Linked DNA regions of Diceros bicornis minor. Each later gene encodes a partner of the first gene's protein in a complex. Links are inferred from orthologs where the notes say so. Each region holds a gene or a part of one and is shown in the gene's direction. Other genes may lie near its edges.

Region 1 (6,884 bases):
AGTGCCTACATGATGAGATGCAGGAGGGTGAATGGCATCAGCACTGTGGCATAGCGTTAGGCTACTACTGACCTTCTGACGATCCATGAGAAGGAAGATCATCTGCTACCGACTGCAGTAGACGGAGGGTAACTGAAACTGTGAAAGCAAAACCACAGATCAGGGGGACTACTGTACCTGCTGTGCATAACTGAGTTCCCAGGGAAGCATTTAAGCCCTGCTTCTTCCCAGATGTTCCTCTGCCCTCACACTTTGGAGACCATGGAAATGAAAGAGGAAAGGTCCTTCAGACCCTGGGCAAGCACGTTGGGGAAGCCCCTTTTCCGAAACTCTCTAAAAATAGGATGCCTCATCCACCTTTGGGGTTGGGGAGGAGGAAACCAGGTTTGTTTTAGGGTTGGTGTGGTGTAACGCGGTGCAATGAGCACTGGCCTTGGAGTCAGGTAGACCTCCATTCAAATCCAGCGCCCACCACTTGCAGCCCTATGACCTAAGCGAGTTTCTTAACTTCATCGGTGTTACCTTCTTTACGGTGAAATGAGGATAGGCACCCCTAATTTGTAGAGTTTGATGAGAGTTGAATGACATGACACGTGCAAAGAGCCCAGCACCGAGAAAGCACTCACTAAATGCTAGTTCTCTTTGAGACTGAGAATTCCAAAATTCTCCACAGAGCAGCTCAGTCACAGAGATCTACGCCGACAGCTGTGCTGTTTTATAGTGTTAATGGATAACGTGGCTACTGTATGTTACATGGGAAGATTAGGGCCCTCAGGAAACCAGCAACCTCAGGCGGCTCTATGACGTGTTTGTAGAGCTGAAATGAAATGCTCCCTCTGCTCTATTTTAGTTGCTATGGCGACACTACCATGGTCTTGATCATTGGATGGGAATAGCGTGAAACATAGGTTGTCCCTTGGAGGCATTTTGGCTCAGCTCAGAAACATACTTTTAAAGGTTAGCAGAGGGCCGGCCTGGTGGCGCAAGCGGTTAAGTGCGCGTGCTCCGCTGCGGCAGCCAGGGGTTCGCTGGTTCGGATCCCGGGCGTGCACCGACGCACTGCTTGGCAAGCCATGCTGTGGCGGCGTCCCATAAAAAAAAAAATAAAAAATAAAGTGGAGGAAGATGGGCACGGATGTTAGCCCAGGGCCAGTCTTCCTCAGCAAAAAGAGGAGGATTGGCAGATGTTAGCTCAGGGCTCATCTCCTCACACACACAAAAAATAATAAAAAATAAAATAAAATAAAGGTTAGCAGAATATTTGCATCTTGAGGAGAATTGTGGAAGTAGCATTAGGCTGCGGGAGAGCCAAGTTTGATCACAGGTGTGACAGGGAAGAGCCTGCCCTGACTGGCCCCCACCCGTTGTCTTGATTTCCAGGGCTTGGGGAACACCTGAGGCTCCAGGAGAGCTGTCCTTCGGGGGAGCCCCCTCTGGGCCTGGCCAACTCACACAGCAGTCAAGCTAGGTCCTTGCAGTTATATGCATACCCTTTGCTAGGAGGGAGGACTTGATGTGCCACTTGAGAGAGGTTAGCAACGAAACATTCATGCCCCTGGTTTCCATAAGTTCCTGGAATCTTCCTGTAATGACAATGCAAACAAAACTGTGAGCACAAATTCGTTCCTTGCAAGGTTGTAGATGAGAGCAAAGGATTGGATGCCTCCTGATGTCCGTCTAGGGAGGATGGTTACACAAATGATGGCGCACTTGTAGGATGGACTACAGTGCTGTCTCTAAAGACATGGTTCAAATTTGGTCCAGTGTAAGAAAATGCTTGTGATATGTAAATGTAAATGTAAAAAAAATGTGGGAAATAAGTGTAGTAGGTATCCAAAATGTGTTTCTACCAAATTTTGTTTAAGACAGGCTCTGGATAGAGATATCTTATAAATGGTTTTGTTCTACACGGATATTCTGTTCCACTATTTTTTTGCACGAGAGCAGTGGAAGAGGACTGTAGGGGACCCAGCCTGGTGATGGGAGTCCCAGAGTGAGGGGCTCGCCATGTCTGGGAGCTGCCAGGAGCAGTACTGCCAATTCTATAGGAGTGAAATGGTCTCTTTCTAACCAGAGAAGCCACGTGCTGTGTGAAACCCCCACAAAACAAGTGTTGGCCCAGTAATTGGATGGATTTTAGGGGATGGGAGGCTAGTTGGAACCAGGGGCAAAACTTAAGTACCATATTCAAGGGGAGCAGGTGGGGAACTGGTTGAAAGGCTTAGAGCACGCTTTCCTCCAAATGGCCCTTCATTAAGTATCTCCCAACTCACTTCCCTTCCTCTGTCATGGGCTAGTTGGTTGTCAGAAACAGACACTCTTTAGCACAATACCCTCAAGGTCCATCCACATTGCTGCAAATGGCATGGTTTTGTTTTTTCTTATGACTGAGTAGTATTCCATTGTGTATGTATACCACATCTTCTTTATCCATTCATCTGTTGATGGGCACTTAGGTTGCTTCCAAAACTTGGCTGTTGTGAATAATGCTATACGAACATAGGGGTGCACATATCTTTTCAAATTAGTGTTTTCATGTTCTTTGGATAAATACCCAGAAGTGGAATAGCTGGATCATATGGTAGTTCTATTTTTAATTTTTTGAGGAATCTCCATACTCTTTTCCATAGTGGCTGCACCAGTTTGCGCTGTCACCAGCAGTGTATGAGGGTTCCCTTTTCTCCACATCCTCTCCAACACTTCTTATTTCTTGTCTTGTTAATTATAGCCATTCCGACAGGCGTGAGGTGATATCTCACTGTAGTTTTGATTTGCATTTCCCTAATAATTAGTGATGTTGAACATCTTTTCATGTGCCTGTTGATCATCTGTATATCTTCTTTGGAAAAATGCCTGAGCGAAATAAGTCAGACAGAGAAAGACCAATACCTTATGATTTCACGCATATGTGGAAAATAAACAAACACATAGATAAGGAGAACAGAGTGGTGGTTACCAGAGGGGAAGACGGGAGGAGTAAATGGGGTAAAGGGGCACATGTGTATGGTGATGGGTAAACACTAGGCTATTGGTGGTGAACAGCACACCATCTATACAGAAGCTGAAATATAATGATGTACACCTGAAATTTACACAGTGTTATAAGCCAATATGACCTCAATAAAATAATTGAAAAAAAAAAAAAGCAACAGAAAGTCCTTCAAGCTGCCTCAGAGTAAGGAGCATGCAGCAGAAGGAAACTGCGGACAACAGGGAGCCCCACAGGAAGCACAGGAAGCCCTCAGGCAGCAGGGGCCTCTGCCTCTCTCTGGGGCCAACCCCACCCCTGCAGCCCTTCTACTTTACCCTTCTCTCTCCCACCAGCCCCTGGTTCCTGTCCCCCAAGGAGGCCTGAGGTCAGGGTTGCCGCCCTGCTGTGGCGTTAACTCTGTGTGAAAAGTGATAGCCAGGGCCACACCTCTGCCTGCAGTTCCCAAGTCCTGGGAGATGGAAGGAACCTGAGTGGGTCCCGACTGTCAGGACCACGGAGGCCTCTCTTCCCCCAAGGAAGGGGCTGCAGCTGCACGGGTGTCTCCAGTGCACTCATTTTCCACCCCATTCAAAGCCCTCACCCTGACGCTCACCTCCAGGCACTGCCTGTCCCCTCCAATCTGGCCTCTCCCAGGACACACTTCAGATGCCCTTTCTCTTCAGGAGGGTCTGTATTTGCCTCATAGTTAAAATCCCCCTTCATTCGAGTCCCAGCCCAAGTCAGCCCCTCTGCTCCCACGGACCCTACCGGGAATCTACTTGCCCCGACAGCCTTTAGCTCTGTTATAAAGCTTCCTGGCATCTCCTGTGTGTGCCCCCAATTAGGATGGGGGAGTTGGAAGCAGAGCTCCTGTGTGGGCTTCCTTGGAGTCCCCATGACACCTGAGAAGATGCTGAGCTCCCTGGACGATCAGCTGATCGTCACCACGGGATTTGGCTGGTGGCCAGCAACAGGTGTGTGGACTGCAGACTCTGATGGCCTGTGGGGACTCTGCGAGGAGGCCAGGGTTAAAGATCAGACCGTTGTGAGGTTCCGCTTGCTGGGGCTGCAGGAGCCGTGTGGGAGTGGATGTGCCTGGAGCCCAGGGACAAAGTCCTGTAATAAATTACGTGGCCTTGAGTGCTCAGCCATTTCCTTGTGGGGCCCTTCCACCTCTTCCTCCTCTCCCTCACTCTCCCGCAGGCCCAGAGCCCTGGCACTGCCTCCTTTCCCTGCTCTTTCAGAGCGCCTAGGGTGGAGGGAAAGGGAGTTGGCAAGACCCCCATCCTGACAAGGTAAGGGAACGCTGGGGGGCTTCTCTGTCTGCCGGATGCACTGGGCCTGCATTCTGCCAGCTGGGAGGACAGGAGGGAGGAGTCACCTCTTGGGAGGAGGGTTGCTGGGCAGGAGGTGGGTTGGGAGGCATAGACCTGGGGAAACACTGCAAGGCTCATCTGGAAACAAGGACAGGCCTGTGAAGTAGAGAGTGGGGGATTCCCTTCAGGAGCCCGGAAATCAGAAACCCCAGCCCAGAGATTCTTCCCATCATGCTGCAGGGCCAACCTGGGGGCTGAGGAGGAGGTGGAGGAGAAGCTGTCCCGGCCCTCTGCCATGGGAAGGCAGACTCTCTGGCAGAGGGGCATGGCAGGTCCGGGGCTGCCCCGTGCCCGGCAGCCTTCTCATAGCGGGAGGGTCTGGCCGCGGAATCACGAGGCATGAAGGTTAGCCTAGGTGCCGAGCACTGGGCACCTAGCCGACGTTAGCAGTGCCATATGTGCCATCTCACTGTGTCCTCACAGCATGCTAGTGTTATTGCCTCCATCTCATGGACAAGGAGACTGGGGACCACGGAAGCTGAGATGCCCACAGGAAGAAGCAGAGCCCGGGCTTATCTGACTCACCCACACACTTTCCTGGACAGTTGTGTTAGTCGCCTCTGAAAGACCTGGGCCCCCAGGGTGAGGCACGACCCTGCCTCTCTGGCCTCACAGCCTCCTCTGGGTGAGGGTGTTGAGTCGTTGGGGGAACGGGGTGACTGAGGGGAGGGACTCCACTGTGGGCTCCCAGGGGTTGCCTCCTTTGAGCTGTCAGCATGTGGTCATCCATCCCCGCTTCACAGAGGAGGAAATTTGAGACACAGACATTGAAGGGTCTGGCAGCTGGCAGGTGTGGGGCCCCATCCTCAATCCCCTAAATTGGGTGTGTTTGCTCCCCACGACCAGGCCTGCCCCTCAGTCTCCACTCCGTAACTCTGGACTTGAATTTTGTTCTAACCCATAAAACCCCTGAACTCTGTTCAGGATTTTAGTTCAAAGAAAACCAAAACTGCATGCAGCTCCCTGGGCCTGGAAAATATCCCCCGAGGAATCTTTGTTAAGAACCACCCAGCTCAACAGCGCTTCTCGTAGGAAGCCATCCCCATGTCCCTGGACCCGTGAGCGCCCTGCTGTCTGGCCCTCGGGTACCCCCTCCCAGAGGCCCTATCCTTGTGTGTCTGTCTTGGTTCCTGCTGACTGGCAGTGGGGGGGCAGTGGGGGGTGTGTGTGTGTGTGTGTAATTCTGAGGAGAGGTGACACTGCAGGGACGAACACTTCCCAGTTACCCGGATGCATAACTTTATGATTTTCATGTCTTCTGAAGGCTCTTGCTCCCACATTCTCCCTCAGTCCACACCACAAGCCTTTCAGGGAGGAAGAGCAGGAATTGTAGTACCTTTCTCACAAAAGAGGACATTGAGATGAAAGAGGGTAAATGCTTTGCCCAAGGCCACTGGATATGAGCACCTTGAGGGCACAGGCTGGATCTCCTCAGGATTTCTCTGTCCCCTGCACCCTCCCCGGGTGTGGCAGAGAATGGGCATGGGTGAGGACAGCACCAGGTGGCTGCAAGAGGACACTTAAGTCCAGTCTGAAAGAGTGGGCCTGAGATGAGGCTGGAAAGCCAGGCACTTACCCTCACCTGCAGGGACCCATCAGGCCCCTGAACCCAGGTGCATGTGTCAGGTGGGAGAGGGGAAGGGGTAAATCCAGTTTATTTGCTCCTCGTAGGACCGGCAACAGTGCTGAATTCCCCACAACCACATTGCCCCCCTGGAGGGGGAACAGAGCCCTGCTCTGGGAGGGAGATTCTCCTAGCAGCGCTTTTTCACCAGGGCCACCTGCCACCACAGACTTCCCCAGGAGGGGCTAGGAGCCAGGCTCTGAGGGAGCAAGGCCTCTCAGCTCCACATTGTCACACACCGAAAGGTTTTTGGCAGTGGGGGTGGCCAGGCCCTGTGCCCGCTGGGGGATGATGGGATGGAGGATTATGGCTCCACATCCTCACCCTGGGCTTACCTGGGAAGAAGAGAAAGGATCCCTGGTGAGGACCCAAGAACATCGCGTCTCTGGGCCAGGAGCACCTCTCAGAGACGTATACCTCCTGGGCTGCCAGTCACATGGTATTCACGGGAATGGCACCCTGTGGCCATCACCCCGTATGCCAGGCAGTCCTGTGTGGGGTGGGACTCCCTTTCAATGGAGGGTGTGTCCTTCTGCAGGCCCTCTGGGCCCTGGGCTGCGGAGATGGGCTGAGCCGTCCCCGGCTGGGTCAGTGCACAGAGGGGCTCAGAACCTGTCCCCTTTCCCTGGAGTGCACTGCCCAATTCCACACCATGGACAGCTCCCACCTCCATGCAACCACTGCTCCCATGGGCTCCTCCCGTTCCTCCCCGCACTGGAGCCCGGTGGCTGATCTTTGCAGACGGTCATCACTGTGGGGAGAGGGGGGATTTCAGGCACCCGGACACTCCTGTGGACAGTAATATAAATAATACAAGCAATCTGTAGCTATGGAAAAGCCAAACGTGACAGAAAGGAGCAAAATGTGAAGGAAAATTCTCCTTCCGCCTCTCTCCACTCCCCACACCAATCCC
Region 2 (7,894 bases), on another chromosome or scaffold:
GTCGGCACTGCAGCATGACCGCTGCATGCTTGAGGCAGCCATGGAATGGGCGTGTGAGGACAAGGCCAGGGGCTGTCTCGGGAGAAATTCCGAGCAGCAGAGACAATGGGTGACAGCCGTTTCGGACAAGATGAAGGCAGTTACAAAATCCTCTGTGACAGGAACCTGCAGGACACAGCCCGCCCCTCCTTGGCCTCAGCACCACCCACTTCTTTCACTCAGAACTGGCCTCACCCTGGGTCTGTCCCTCTGTGCTAGTGACTGCTTGTGACCTCACGAAGCTTGACCGAAGGCGCTCAGGGCCGTGCCTGTGACCACAAAGGGGCAGCAGGAGGGAGTTCTTTGGGGTGATGGAGTCTTTCTGTACCCTGATTGTGGTGATTGCTACACGAATCTATCCATGTGTCAAAATTCATTTTTTACTGTATGTTAATTTCACTGTATGTTAATTTTTAAGAAGTCAATTTTACTGCATGTTAATTTTTTTTTTTTTTTAAATAGGAAGATTTTTCTTATGGAGATCTGCCTGGTTACTTAAGTGTCTGATGCGCTAAGAAATCCCACCAGTTAAGTGAGTACTTGGAGTTTGGAATATGCTCCAATGCTTAATTGGTCAATAGTGTTAAAGTTTAGGGGATTTTAATCCGCCAAGTTTGTGCAAGAACAGGCCATAGCAGCTGTTTAAAAATACATATAAAGAAAACAACTCTGAGATACCCTTACACACCTATTAGAATGGCCAAAATCCAGAACACTGACATCACCAAAGGCTGCGAGGACACAGAGCAACAGGAACGCTCATTCACAGCCGGCGGGAAAGCAAAATGGTGCAGCCACTTTGGAAGACAGTTTGGCGGTTTCTTACCAAACTAGACCTACTTTCCATGCTATTCAGCAATCATACTCCTTGGTATTTACCAAAGGAGCTGAAAACTTATGTCTACACTAAGACCTGCACATGGATGTTTACAGCAGCTTTATTCATACTTGCCCAAACCTGGAAGCAACCAAGATGTTCTTCAGTCTATGAATGGATAAACAAACTGCGGACATCCAGATGATGCAGTATTATTCAGTGAGGAGGAGAAATGAACTATCAAGCCATGAAAAGACGTGGAGGAAACAAATGCACCTTACTAAGCGAAAGAAGCCAGTCTGAAAAGGCCACTACTGTATGATTGCAACTACGCGACGTTCTGGAAAAGAGAAAACCACAGAGACGGTAGAAGGATCAGGGGCTGGCGGAGAGAGAGATGGAGGGAGAGATGAACCAGAGGAGCAGGGGGTCTTCAGGGCAGTGAAACTGCTCTGTGTGGTGGAAAGTGTCCTTATGCATTTGTCCAAATCCGTGGAATGGACAACACTGAGGGTGAACCCTGATGTAGATTGTGGATTTAGTTAATAATAATGTGTCAATATTGGTTCACCAACTGTAACAAATGTCCCATGATAATGCAAGATGTTAGGAATGGGGAGGCGCGGCGCATGTGTGTTTTTTAAAAATACATGTAAAGGGACCAGCCTTGTGGGGCAGCAGTTAAGCGCACCCACTCCGCCTGGCCGGCCCGGGGTTCGCAGGCCCGGATCCTGGGCACGGACCTAACGCACCGCTTGTCAAGCCATGCTGTGGTGGCGTCCCATATAAAGCAGAGGAAGATTGCCACGGATGTTAGCCCAGGGCAAATCTTCCTCGGCAAAAAGAGGAGGATTGGCACCGAATGTTAGTTCAGGGCTGATCTTCCTCACACACACAAAAATGCATATAAAGTGTAACACAAGAACCATGAGTTTACCACTTCATTTACTGGATTTATAATTTATGATTAAGGACTTCATGAGTACAGTTTCTAAAAACCCTAACTTGACCTAACCCCGCATTGATCACGCAGGAGGAACCCAGCAGCCTCCCCATTTTCCCTCCTCCCGCCGCATCTACACCTCCTACTCCCCTGCCCACCTCCGCGCCCACCGCCTCACCCGCAGCCCGGCCTCCGCTTCCGCGCCGCCCGCCGGGGCCTCTCCAGGGGCTTCCGCGCCACCGGGCGCCTCCTCCTTCGTCCCAGCCTCGACCCTCGCGGCCCCTGGGAGCCTTCGGTCGTCGCCCCCGACCCTCCGGAGCCCTCCTCCGGTGCGCTCGGCCCCTCTGCCGCCCCCCCTTGCAGAGCTGGCCAGCCCCCAACGGCGTCCCCCGCAGGCTCTGCTCGTGCCTCCAAAGCGCGCGCGGTCGAGGCTCCGAGGCTTTGCACGCGCTGTTCCTCCGCCGGGTGTCCCTCCTCCCTCCCGGGGCCCCCCGACCCGCGCAGGCCCGCCCGGCCGAGCCCCCCAGCCCGCTGAGGGGCGCCGCCGCGGCGGAGGGGGCGGGCGGCCAGCCGGGGCGACAGCTGGGGGGGCGGCCCTGACCTTCCGCGCGATCGATGGGGCGCGGCCGGGGCTGCGCGGAGCCGGGGCGGTGCTGAGCGCCCCCGGCACCCTCCGCCCTGGGGCGCCGCTATAAAGGGGCCGCGGGGCTCGGCCGCGGCAGCAGCGCTCAGCACCCCGCGCCCACCATGGTCCCCCGGGCCCTGCTGCTGCTGCTGCTGCTGCCGCCGCTGCTACTCGGGGGCTCCGCCGCGCTCCCCGCGCCCCGCAGGTGAGCCCGCGGCCCCGGGGCCCACGCCCGCCCCCCCGGCCCACCTCGGCCCGACCCCGCGTCCGCGCCCCATCCCTGGCCTGGCCCTGATCCTGCCCGCGCGGCCCGCCATCCCCCTCCCCAGGGCCCGGCGACACTCGGATGGGATGTTCACGAGCGAGCTGAGCCGCCTGCGGGAGAGCGCGCGTCTGCAGCGGCTGCTCCAGGGCCTGGTGGGCAAGCGCAGGTGAGCGCGGAGACCTTTGGTGGGGGGCGCTCAGGTGGGACGGCCCGGCACGCGGCGCCGCTCCCAACCCCCCAACTCCCGGACTAACTCTGATTTGGGGTGGGGGCAGCGAGCATGACCCAGAGAACACCACCACCTGGAACACTTCGGCCGAGGGCCGCCTCTGCCTGCCCCGGCCGGCCGGACACGCCCACCCTGCAGGCCTGGTGAGCACCACTAGCCCCCTGCCCCCTCCGGAGGGTACCCCCCTAGACCCTCCCTCTGGGGCCTGGGGCACCCTGGGCCAACAGCAGGAAGTGGACACAGCAGGGGCCAGGGGCCGGGGGAGGTGAGGCTGAGTCAGGGTGGGTGACCAAAGGAGGCCCAGCTTCAGCAGGTGGGCACAGTCTCCAGCTTCAAGTCCCCAGCCTCTAACCGGGCTGTCTCTGCAGGATGCCCCCGAGTGCCCCCCTGGCTCAGGCCAGGTCTCCTTAGCTGCCTCCTGGATGGAGACCTGGGGTCATGGTTTCAGAGCCGGGCATCCCTGCTGCTGAGAGGACTGGATGAGGCCCTGAGGACCAAGGAGCCTGTCTCCACGCACAAGGGGAGCGGAGCCTGGACCGGGAGGGGTGGGGGGCCGGGGGGATTGCATTTGGCACCAATAAAGGAGGAATTCGGACCCTGGCCTGTGACCCCACTCTGTGTGCTTTGGGTACCGTCAGGCAGCCTCTGTGGTGCAGGGCTGTCGGGGGAGGAGGGCCCCATCCTCGGATTCTGGGACTGCAGCCACGCCCGCTGCCCTTTAAACCTGGGAAACCAGTGGGGCGCCTCACCCTCCCGTGTCCTACCTCTGACATCAGCGCCACCTCCTGTCCCATCCACTGAGCTCCCCAGGGCCCACCTGCACCCCTGTCATCCACTCACTGACATTCAGGGGCTCTGTGGGGGGACTCAGGACGTCTCCCAGCTCCTGCCCCCGGGGCCAGGTGGTCAGTGTGTGCAGCAGGTGGGGGGGGAGTTGGAGGGGGCAAGTAAGCTCAGGGCAGGCAGGAAGAGATGGCAGGGGGGTGGAGGGGTGTCCCCCAGGAGGCCACTCTGAGTGAGAGGACTCTAGTGTGTGTCTTGGCTCCCTGTCCAGGCCGTGTGGTCTCAGACGAGCGGCTTGACCACTCTGAGCCTGTGGGGCAGGGACGATGATGACACCCCTAGAGGTGCTGGGTGTGCAGGAGGCCGTGGAGGCACTGCCAGCAGGGGCAGTTGGATACCAGGAGCTTCGGGAAGGTGTTTCAGGCCCTTAGAGCCTCGATGCAAACAGGCGGGAAGGCCCCCCCATCATGGCAGCCCCTTCCCTCCCTCCTGACCCCTCCCAGTGGCCTCTCTCCAGCTGCTGGGATTTGGCAGGCCAAGGAAAGATGAGGTAGGGCAGTTGCGGGCCTGGGCCAACGAGCCTCATTGGGGTCCCTCTCTGTCAGGCACCAGAGCCCGCGGGGACCCGGGAGCCCCAGGTGTCCCCTGAAACACTGCCACCTCCATCACTGTGGCCCTGCCCAGCCCCACCAGGAGGAATCCGGCTTGTTTCCGGGACAGGCAGGGGTATCCCCAGGACACAAACAACCTTTTCTTTCCAGACCTAGATGGTGGGTGCGGGGAGAGGAGGTGAGCTGGATGGGAACACGGGGTCTGAACGTGCCCCAAGATGACTCTGGCAGAACAGCCCAGCAGAGGGGCAGCTGGGGCCGAGGGGAGGCACAGCAAACACAGGAGCCAGGGCCCAGCCCCCACCCCTCCCCCAGCCTGCCCCCTCCCCAGCCCCTCCCCCAACCCCCATCCTCCCCCAGCCCCTGCCCCTCCCCAGCCCCCTCCCAGCCCTGGGCCCTCCCCCAGCCCCTCCAGCTCCCCAGCTCCCTCCCCCAGCCCCTCGGTGCCCCAGCGGCTCTCTCTGAGCTCCTTTCTGTCTCTTGTCTTGGTGTCTGTGGGTTGAGCCCAGCTCCGGCCCGGGGAACCACCAGGCGGCCCCCTCCTGCCAGTGGGCTAGGCCTGGCCTGCGGCCGGCGGGAGCCCCCTTGGTGGAGGCCAGTCGGTCGTAAAGGATCATAAAGTGGGGCGGTGCCTGGCAGGGGCGAAGGTCGCCCAGGCAGGGACTGCGCCAGCGGCGGCCGGCTGCCCAGAGGGTCCTGGACACCGAACCAGCACAGACCCTCCTGCGGCTGTCGGCCGCCGAGATGGGGGCTTGGGCCCTGCTGCTGCCACTGCTGCTCGTGGGCACAGCCCAGGCCCAGGGTACCTTCAGGGCCGTGGCGGGTGGGGCTGGGGGGCAGGCATGGGGCTGGGCGGTACCGACCCTTCCTCTCCAACTTTCTAGTCTGCTCTGTGAACCAGACCTTCTTTGAAGTCAAGGAGAACACGAATGTCACCGAGCCCCTGGTGGATATCTACGTCCCCGACGACCAGCAGGTGACCCTCGGATCCTCGTCCACCCTCTTCGCATTTCGGATCCAAGGGACCCAGCTGTTTCTCAACGTGACTCCTGATTATGAGGTGTGGCTGGCAGGCCCCCCGTGGGGCATGCCCGTGGGGGTGGCTGGGGCGGCTGACCCCCCACGGGACCCAAGTGGACACCCACCCTCCCTCCCGGAGAAGGGCTCTCTGGGGGCCTTTGGGTGTCAGTTTGCCCAGGGGTCCTGAGGGCTCTGCGCCCCTCAGGCAGGGACTGACTGACCCCTCCGGGGCCCCAAGGCTTGGCAGAGGGCTGGCCTGAGGGGGGCGGGGCCCTGGGGTGACAAAGCTGCCTCGGCCCCCAGCTCCCTCTGGGCTTAGCATGGATGATGGGGACCCTGGGCGAGCACCTGCCCCCTCGGCCTCAGTCTCCTCACCTGTGAAGTGGGGACGCTGTGCTGTGGCCAGCCAGGCAGGTGATTCCTGACACCTGCCCACCCCCACAGGAGAACTCACTGCTGCAGGCACTCCTGGAGTGCAAAAGGGGTGACACCGTGGTGAGTCCTGCCCCCACACCCCCGACCTCCTGGGCATCCCCCCACGTCATACTCTTACCCTGTGACGTCAGAACGCTCTGGGCTTGGACCTCTGCCCTCTGCTCTGCCCGGTCCAGGGTCACTCCCTGGTGACCTCACCCAGTGGTGTATTGTCAAGTGTCACCCTGTGCTGGTGACACCCACAGTTCCTCCAGCCCAGACTCTGCCCTGAGCCCCAGACCCTCAAACCCAGCCCAGCCAACATCATACCCCCAATAGAGGCCCCCAACCCGAGGTCCCGCACGGTGGAGATGCCCCACCCTGAGGGCTAGGTCCTCACCTCCCCCCCGCCACGTCCCTCTATCAGCAAATCTGTTGGATCTGCCTCAAGCTAGACCCTCCCCACCTCCATGCCCCACTTGGGCCTTGGCCACCAGCATCTCCTTTCTGGAACCTTCCAACTAGTTCACCTGCTCCCCTCTTGGCTCCGCCTACCCCAATCCACTCTCCATATGGCAGAAGAAGATCCAGTAAAGCAAGCCGCACGTCCTGCCCAGGACTTCCTCTCATGGCTGCTTTCTCACTCCGGGTCAAAGCCAAATGCACTGCCGGGGTGGGCAAGGCCGGGCGCAGGGACCCAACGCCCAGCTTCGGCGGCCTTGTGCCCTCTCCCAGATGCGCACCTGCCTCCCTCTCTCACCATCTCCGGTCCTCACTCGCCCATGCCCTCCTCGGAGAGGCACCCTGACCGCCTGCCCCACGCACCTGCCTGCTCAGCAGCGAGCCCCGTGGGCGCCCCCACCCCCACATCACAGCACGCCACCCACAAATGTCTCAGGATGACTCTCTGAAAGATAAGGACCCTTCCTCTGAAACATCATCAGGACACTGCTGTGACACTGAGGAAACTGGGACGGCGGGCATCGCGTGACCTCCAGCGTCTGAATCCTGCCCCCAGGTCGCAGACGGGTCTTGACTGATGCTTGTTTGAACCAAGATCCAAGCAGGGTCCGCCTGATGCGGCTGCTTGAGTTTCTCTTAAGTCTTTTTCCGTCTGCTGGTCCCCTTTCTCTCTCCTTTTTCCTTTGAGATCTACGTTTGAAGAAATTGGATGGTTTTGCCGTTTTCCGCGTCTGGGATTTTGCTGGTTGTGTCCCCAGGAGCTGAGTTATTTTCTCCAGGGCACTCACCACCTTCTGTGCTTTACAAATTCCTTCTTGTTCGTTGTCTGTAACCCCTCCTGAGCAGGAGCCCCCGGGCACTCTAGCACCCAGGGTGAGCCAGGGCGGCTGGGGTGGGCACCAGGTGAGGAGGCTGACCACCTCCCGTCCCCCCAGGTGACCCAGCTGAGGGTGTTCGTGTCTGTGCTGGACGTCAATGACAATGCACCCACGTTCCCCTTTGTGGTCAGGGTGGAGAGGGTACCCGAGGTGAGTGTGAAGGAAGCCAGGGGCCGTGGCATCTGGGCTGGCACTGGGCCATCGGGAGCTGGGGTGAGGGGCCAGACGGCAGAGGGCTAGTGGCCGGATGTGTTGGCCATGGGGGTGAGGAGTGTGGCCAGACCAACCCCCCTGTCCCCCAGAACGCTAAAGTGAACACTACCGTCATCCCAGAGACGGAACTGCAGGCCGAGGACCTGGACAAAAATGACATCTTGTTTTACACCCTCGAGGAAGTGACCCCGGTCAGTGCCCCCAATCCCTGCCCCAACTCAGACCCCTCCACCTTGGGCGCCCCTGCCTCTCTGCAGCCCCCAGAGTCTCAGGCTGAGGCCTCCCCACCTCCTCAGGGTGCCAGTGTCTTCTTCTCCTTGGTGGGAGTGAACCTCCCTGCCCTGCAGCTGGACCGGACACTGGACCTTGACAGGTGGCCGAACATGACCTTCCGGCTGCTGGTGCGGGTGAGCAGGCCACACCCACCCCGAGTCCTGGACGCGCGGGTCCCCATCCGAGCTGCCGCCACCCCCAGGCTCCCAGACCTGATCCGAGGGTCTTGGCTGTTGTAGGATACACGGGAAGAGAACGTGACACCCAGCCACACGGCCACGGCCACCCTGGTCCTGGAGGTGGAGCCCATCGATCTGCGGCC
Region 3 (7,139 bases), on another chromosome or scaffold:
GCAGCTTGTACTCTGCAAAGCCATTGCAACGTGGAGGAATGATGAAAAGTTGAGGAGGGACTGGACACATTCACAGCAAAGACCCCCCCCTCAGCCCGGGCTCCCCAGGTCACCTCTGGAGCCACACACTGGTGGGGGGAGGGGAGGTCTCCAGATTGCAGAAGTGGCAGCTCCGAGACGAGTGACTTGCCTGATGTTACACAGCTAGTCAGAGGAAACTGAGGACTTGGTTTCAGCTTGATCAATGTCTGGGCATGTGGTGGTGCACACAGTAGGTTGCTAGCAAAGACAGGCAATGAGAACTTTTTCTGATCAAAATTTTTAAAAACCACACGCCTAACACAGTGGCTCTGAATCACTTCCTCATGTGCACATCTCTCTATCCCTTGCCCTGTGCTAAGGGCTTTACTGCATCACCTCCCTGTGTCAATGTCTATAACAAATCTGTGAGTCGGGTTTTGCTGTTATGCCCATTTTATAGATGAGGACATTGAGGCTCAGGGAGATGAGCTACCTTGTCCAAGGCCCCCATCTAGTAAGTGGTGGGGAAGAGATTAGAACTCAGGTCATCTAAGTTCACATCCTGGCCTCTTAGCCCCACTTTCTGCCTGGCAACCCGCTGCTCGCTGAGGCTGACCCCAGGCCTGGCCTGTTACTCAGACCTGGATCATCACAGCCCAGAGCCCAGTGACCTGCTCAGGCTGCCTTGTGGTAGGTAGACAGGTGCCCCTTGAGATGGGCAGGGCACCATCTGGTCACACATGGCTCGTCCAGATGCTGTCCAAAGGTCTGGGCAGGCCAGCACACGCCCTCCGGGGGCCAGAACAGTGACTCAGAGCTGTTGGCCCCAGCAGTCAGAGCAGGGACAGAGAGGAGGGCTGGGCAGAGAGACCAGGCTGGTTCCCTGGGTTTGGGGCAGACCTGGAGCCTGGAGCCTCGGGCAGAGTCGCCTGCTTCTCCTCCTACAGTTAGTCCACCAGCAGTTCCCCCACGCCACTGCAAAAACTAGCACGCGCTGAGACTTGACTCTGTGTCGGGCCCTGTGCTCGAGACTTGAAACGCATGACTTCATTTCATTCTCACCACCACCTTCTGAGTAGGTTTCATCCATTATCCCCAATTTACAGATGAGGAAACAGGCTGAGAGAGGTTCTGTAACTTGCTCCACCACAATTGAACTCAGCTCCTGACCCCTGAGCCCTGTCTCTCAACGACTACATCGTAATAGTTATGTCAAGTGCCGTCCACCTCCTGCAGCATCCTCTCCCTGGAGACACACAGGAGAAAACTCCTCTCAGGTATCAGAACTCAGAATTGCACCATGGCTCCCAGATCCTGGCTCTCTCTCTGTATGTGTGTGTGTGCTTGTATATATACCTTTTTAAATGGATGGGTGCTGGATGCTAGACTTAATGGATCCTGTTTCTCTCTTTGCCTCACCTGCTAGGAAACTCAGAATCTAATTCATGGCCCACCTCTGACAATTACCTAGAATTTCAAGGCAAATATTTAAATATTTTATGGACTTTATTCCGATCTAAATTCTCCTCGTTTTTCTCATTTGTTTTCCCTTAATCCAGGTTCCTTTTGAGCTTGTTGTAGCATATATTTTTTGCAATTTTTTTTATTGTGGTAAAGTATACATAACATAAAATTTACTAACAACCATTTCCAAGTGTGCAGTTTAGAGGTATTAAGTACATTCATAATATTGTGCAACCATCACCACCATCCATCTCCAGAACTCATTTCATCTTGTAAAACTGAAACTCTGTGCCCATTAAACCACAACTCCCCATCCCACCTCCCGCAGCCCCTGGCAACCGCCATTCTACTTTCTGTCTCTGTGATTTCGACTGCTCTAAATACCTTATGTAAGTGGAATCATACAGGATTTGTCCTTTGTGTCTGGCTTATTTCACTCAGCATAATGTCCTCAAGGTTCATGCGTGTCGTAGCGTGTGTCAAAATGATCTTTCTTTTTAAGGCTAACATTCCATTGTATGTATATGCCACATTTTATTTGTCCATCCATCTGTCAATAGACTCGGGTTGCTTCTATGTTGTAGCTACTGTGAATAACGCTTCTACGAACATAGGTGTACACACAACATATATATTTTGATAATCTGTTTTAAATTGGGGAGGTTGGGGAACAAACTTCTCTGTTAAAGGGCCTGGCCTTTGTAACCACTCGATGTATATCTACTGAGTGTGAGTCTGGAGAGGCCGCTCAGGGTTATGATAGGACTGTGGGCACGTGCCCTGGGAAAGCTATGGATTCGCTGCCCTGGGAGCCTGGACAAGTGGCAGGGTGGGGGTGGGGGGTTCTATGCTACGTGCCAGGAATGGTATCTGAATTATCTGGTTTTATCCTCACAAGAATCCCACAAAGTAAATAATATTATTTTCTCCAAGTTGTGAATGTGGATGTCTGATATTATGCTACAGGGAGAGGTGGGGACTTCAAGAAGCTTAACAGCTAGGAGATGGCCCAGCCAAGTTCAAACTGCAGCCTGTTTACCTCAACTCTGTCTGTGCCCCTTCCTTAGCATGTGGGTTTGGTGGTGTAGGGATGGGGGACTTCCCATCTTGAGGCAGATTGTAGTCAGGACAGACCAATTCAACCAGGCCTAGCAGAAAAAGGAATGTATTGATTTAATAACTGAAGAGTCTGGTGGTGGAGGTTTTCAGGCATGGCTACATCCAGAGGCTCACACAAAGTGATGAGGAATCTGTTTGTCTGCATTTCTTAGCTCTGCTTAACTCAGTCTTAGATTCTTTCTCAGTAGACTTTACCATTATGGTAGTAATTAGACAGCTGTTGGAAGTCACTTTCTTACAGTTTAGATGTCCCAGTGGGGAGGAAAATGTTCTCCTTCTCAACAGTCCCAACAAAAGTCCTTGATTTGAGTCCTCTTGGTTCTTATTGCCCCAGCTTTGGTCACATGCCCAAACCTGAACCAGGAGCTGTGTGTGTCTGTGTAGGGGGGTGCTGTGCTCTGACTGGCCAGGCCTTATCACATGCCCCCCACGGGGTGAGGGGAGGGTGGGTGAAGAGGTTCCCCAAAGGAAAATTGGGTGTTGTTACCAAGGGGAGCCGAGAGAGCTACTGGGCGCTGGCACAGGAAAGGCGTCCTGGAGTGAGAGGGGAAGTGTGGAGGAGGCCCCCTAGCCTGGCCGAGGAGAAATGGGGAGGGCTGAGCGAGCGAGGGGAGCACACTTCCCCCTTCACCGGCCTGGGTGCTGTGCTTGGAGTTGGTTCCTGGCTCAGCTGGCCATGTGCTCTCTGGGGAACGTGTGTGTGGGCCCCTCCCGCTCAGAGCCCCAGGTTCCCGCTCTGCAGAGTGGGCGTGGTTATAACAGTACCTCCTCTCCCAGGTGATGTCAGGCATCAGGGAGACCATGATGTCAAGCGTACAGTAGGTGCTCAATAAAGGCCAATTCCAACTCCTCTTGGGAGGCACCAGGACATCCTCCCCCAGGACTTCCTTGGAGCTGAGAGCGTATTTGCATCTCATGATCTCTTTCTGCTGCCCCTGGCCTTACTGAGTGCCCGTCCTGGGCTGGGTGTCTTCCCATCCACCCACACAGGACTCGCTGCCCCATGGTGCAGACACAAGCAGCGTGGTTCCGAGAGGGGCAGTAACTTCCCCAGGACACCCAGCCAGAAGAACTTGAGGCCCCCTTTCTCCTTGTCAAGATGGGGATGTTGGGGCCTGTGTGGTTGGAGGAGGAGTTGGGGGCTTGGACCCTGCTGGGAGGCCACGGGCACCCCGCTGGTCTTGAAAGCCAGCCTGCAGGTGGATGAGGCCCCAGGGAGGGGCAGGCACCTCTGAGGGCCTCAGCAGAGGGGAGTGAGGCAGCGCTAGGTGGGGGCTGCGGATCCAAGGTCAAGTTCACCGCACTCCTGGGGGGATAACTCACGTTGGATTGTGATGCTCTTTTACTAGTTCCCTCCCCTGACCTAACCCCTCTCACCTTCTCCACGGGTCCCCTGTCACTGAGGACTCTTGTAGTGGGGAGGGAACTGTCGACTGTCACCCTTCCCGCCCCTGCCTGCCCCAGCTGCTGGGCCTGGTTCCCGGGTCCCCCGGGCTCGGGCTCTCCTAGGCCCTTTCTCCAGTGGCCTGGCCTCCAGTCCCGGGAGCACTGTTGCCCGTCACCTTGATCCTGCCCTCCTGCCCCCTCCCCGGCTGTGATCAGCACTTGCTGAGGACTTGTCCCCATCCCGGGAGGTGCGGTCCCTGGCAGGGTTAATGATTGCTCAGAGGAGGCGGAGATGGTGCCAAAGTCTGCTGGCGGCGCCACTGCAGGCCCAGACGGTGCCCACCTCTGCCTGCTGCCAGGGTCCATCCGCCACCTCCGTGGCCCCTGCCGGGGCACAGGTAGGGGCTGCACAGCTCGGCTGTGGTGGGGATGTGGGGCCTCCTGGCCAGGGGTAGGAACAGAGTGGGGTCGTTGGGGCCAGGGCGAGCTTTGGGGGTCCACCCAGCTGGGTGGGAGTGCTGGGCAGAGAAAGCGGGCACTGGCGCTGGGTTGGGGGAACCTGGAGCTGAGGCCCAGCCGGGCTGCAAGGCCTCAGGTTCTTCCGTGGGGCTAATAATGCCTATACCCAGGGTTCTGATGGCTCCTCTCCCTTCCAAGTCCTTGGGTAATTTGGACCTACTGACGGTTCTTCACAGGATGGAGGGGAGGCAGGTCCCCCAGGGAAATGAGTTAACCCTCCTAGGCCCCTTTCACAGAGGCTTGAGGGAGTGAAGACAGAGTGGCTGAGCTGGGGGGCCCCAGAGCTTGAGGAGAAAGAACTGGGCTCCGAACCAACTGCTTGAGTTCAGATCCCAGCTCCATCCTGACTTTGGGTGGGCTCTGTAAGTCTTCGGGCCTCAGTTTCCTCATCTGTGGAATGGGACAGTAGTAGTGCAGGAAAGAAGCTGGAGAAGGCCTGGAGCAGAGTTGGGCCTGTGGTCGGTGATGGACTCCGGTGCCACCTCAGCCCCCACTAGGAAGGGTCCGGCTGCGACTAACCACAGCCTGGCCCTCAGCTCTGGCTCATTCCCAGGCCCTGACACATCTCTTTGCCCTGGTGTTCCAGGTGGAGACTCAGCTGAGAGCCAGGGCCAGGCCTGGGCCTCTTCCCTGAGCAGGACTGTGGGATTGGGGCACCAGGCACAAAGCGGGGCTCAGGGAACATTGGGATCCCACTGATGGAAACAGGACATGACCCATGTGTGGACTTTATGGTTCTTATCCTCACTCCATTTCTCAGCAGGGAAACTGAGGCCCAGAGAGGGTAAGGGCTTGCTTGGGGTGGCACAGCAAGTAAGTGAAAGGCTGGAATCTGAACCAGGGCCATTTGACTTCATATCTGTCTGCCGCCAAAGCAGCCTGAGGGACAGGTGCTGGAGGGGCTCCATGCAGGAAGCCCATGCCCTTGGGGTCCACATCCTTGCACCAGGGCACCCTGGTTGGGCTGGTGTCTGACCTGTGGGTGCTGGTACGGCTCCCATGGAGTCAAGCGGAGCCCAGAGCAAGGCTTGCTCACGGACTCCTGGATGTGGAGCCAGTCTGGGTCCAATGCTCTGCACCTTGCTCTTGGGCATCCCTCTCTGAGCATCTCTGAGCTTCGTTTCTCACCTGAACCCAGGAGTGGTGATTCCTACAGCTGGGGAACAGCTGTGAGAAATAAACAAGAAAGCGGAAGTGAAAGCATGTGGTGAGCTGGAGGTGGTGGTGGCTGAGCCCGCCCGCTGGGGGCCAATGGATGAGGAGGTCCACCTCCCTCTCTGGTCCTCCTGGACGCCCTGGGCAGGCCTGAGGTCCCCACTCCCAGTGGCTCCAAGCCCTAGGAAGTCTTGGAGCCATGGGCTGTTGAGAGCTGTGGCTGATGCCTCCTCCCACTGAGGGTGAGGAGCTGGCGCTTCCCGGCCCGGGATGGGTGTGTCCCTTCCAAGCCAGAAGGGACTCCCATGGGAGTGTTTCATGGGGTAGGGGTCCAGAAGCCACCCTGTTTCTCCTCTGTGTCCTTTTTGACCCTTCCCCCAGCACTGTTTGAGAGTAGGGAAAGAGAGCGGGTGGGTGGAGGTAGAGGGAGGTTGAGTAGGGGTTGGGGGAAAGGAAGCTGTAATCTCTAGAATGTTGATAATCCCATTTTTTAGAAGGCAAACTGAGAGGCAGAGAGGAGGAAAGAAGAAACCCTGGGTCTGGCTGTGCGGTGACTGGGGCCTGGAGTGAGACCATGCGTCCTTCACTCCCAAGCCATGGCCGCCTGGCACAGCGGAGGCCTGGGGAGTGGCCTGGCCTGGAGTCCCCACCCATGGGCAACTCCATTCACATCTTATTCATTTGCACCTAGTCTGTCCCCCTGCCCCTGCTGGGTACTAGGAGCTTAGGGGCCACCAATGCCGGAAGGTGGCTCCGCACCTGACCTGACCTTAGAGGATGGAGAGAATTTGCATATACGCAGGAGGCAAGGGAAGGCGTTCTGGGCAGAGGTGACAGCAGATGCAAATGCTGGGAGGAAGAAAAACATCGGGTGTGTACAAGAGCAGCAGCACGCAATGCCCTTGGGTTGTGGGAGGGGGAAGGAGGCCAGCTTGAGTGGGAAGAGAGACGTGTACCTGTGAGGACCTGGCCTGCCAAGCTGAGGGGCAGGAAGTGTGTCCTGCAGCCAGTGGGAGCCAAGGCGGAGGTTTGAGCTTGGGAGTGGCTGTGCCCAGTGAGGTGAGAAGGCTCACTGATGGGGCAGGGTCATCCTGGCGGCTTCCCCCACTCCCTTAGGCTCTGTACATTTTTCTCAGGTGACTGAATCAGGAGGATGATGCTCTGGGCTGTAGAACTTTGACCGCATTATGATCAAATGAGCGTGTGTTTGTAAAAGTCACTGTGACAGGGAGGAGGGAAGATTGCGTGAAACCCAGGCTGAGGCAGTGCAGGAGGGAAGAGAGGCAGGACCCAGCAATAAAGAGCACTGGACAGGGAGTCTGAGGGGTGGGTCCTGGCTCCACCCTGACTGGCTTGGGATGGTGGGCAGGAGCCTTAGCTTCCCTGGGACTCAGGCATAAAGGGGGCTGCGGAGCCATCGCTTCCTTCCGGGGAGATGGTGAGGACCAGATGCAGGGGAGGGACTTTGTGTGTGC

Evidence for each region.
Region 2: MYO7B (region 1) and CDHR5 share a complex: the UniProt entries of both Homo sapiens proteins name them as parts of the IMAC/intermicrovillar adhesion complex. The link is inferred for Diceros bicornis minor from reciprocal best matches to the Homo sapiens genes MYO7B and CDHR5.
Region 3: MYO7B (region 1) and CDHR2 share a complex: the UniProt entries of both Homo sapiens proteins name them as parts of the IMAC/intermicrovillar adhesion complex. The link is inferred for Diceros bicornis minor from reciprocal best matches to the Homo sapiens genes MYO7B and CDHR2.

The regions. Positions count from the first base shown.
Region 1 is NC_080749.1:5,374,366-5,381,249, reverse strand, and holds the start of MYO7B (unconventional myosin-VIIb), read left to right. Parts: upstream 1-3,866; coding exon 3,867-4,016; intron 4,017-6,884. UniProt on the Homo sapiens protein: Myosins are actin-based motor molecules with ATPase activity. Their highly divergent tails are presumed to bind to membranous compartments, which would be moved relative to actin filaments.
Region 2 is NC_080770.1:1,357,522-1,365,415, forward strand, and holds the start of CDHR5 (cadherin-related family member 5), read left to right. Parts: upstream 1-4,879; 5' UTR 4,880-5,056; coding exon 5,057-5,114; intron 5,115-5,196; coding exon 5,197-5,372; intron 5,373-5,776; coding exon 5,777-5,827; intron 5,828-7,143; coding exon 7,144-7,236; intron 7,237-7,388; coding exon 7,389-7,490; intron 7,491-7,595; coding exon 7,596-7,706; intron 7,707-7,811; coding exon 7,812-7,894. UniProt on the Homo sapiens protein: Intermicrovillar adhesion molecule that forms, via its extracellular domain, calcium-dependent heterophilic complexes with CDHR2 on adjacent microvilli. Thereby, controls the packing of microvilli at the apical membrane of epithelial cells.
Region 3 is NC_080740.1:89,800,784-89,807,922, forward strand, and holds the start of CDHR2 (cadherin-related family member 2), read left to right. Parts: upstream 1-4,124; 5' UTR 4,125-4,259; coding exon 4,260-4,388; intron 4,389-6,620; exon of another isoform or gene 6,621-6,723; intron 6,724-7,139. UniProt on the Homo sapiens protein: Intermicrovillar adhesion molecule that forms, via its extracellular domain, calcium-dependent heterophilic complexes with CDHR5 on adjacent microvilli. Thereby, controls the packing of microvilli at the apical membrane of epithelial cells.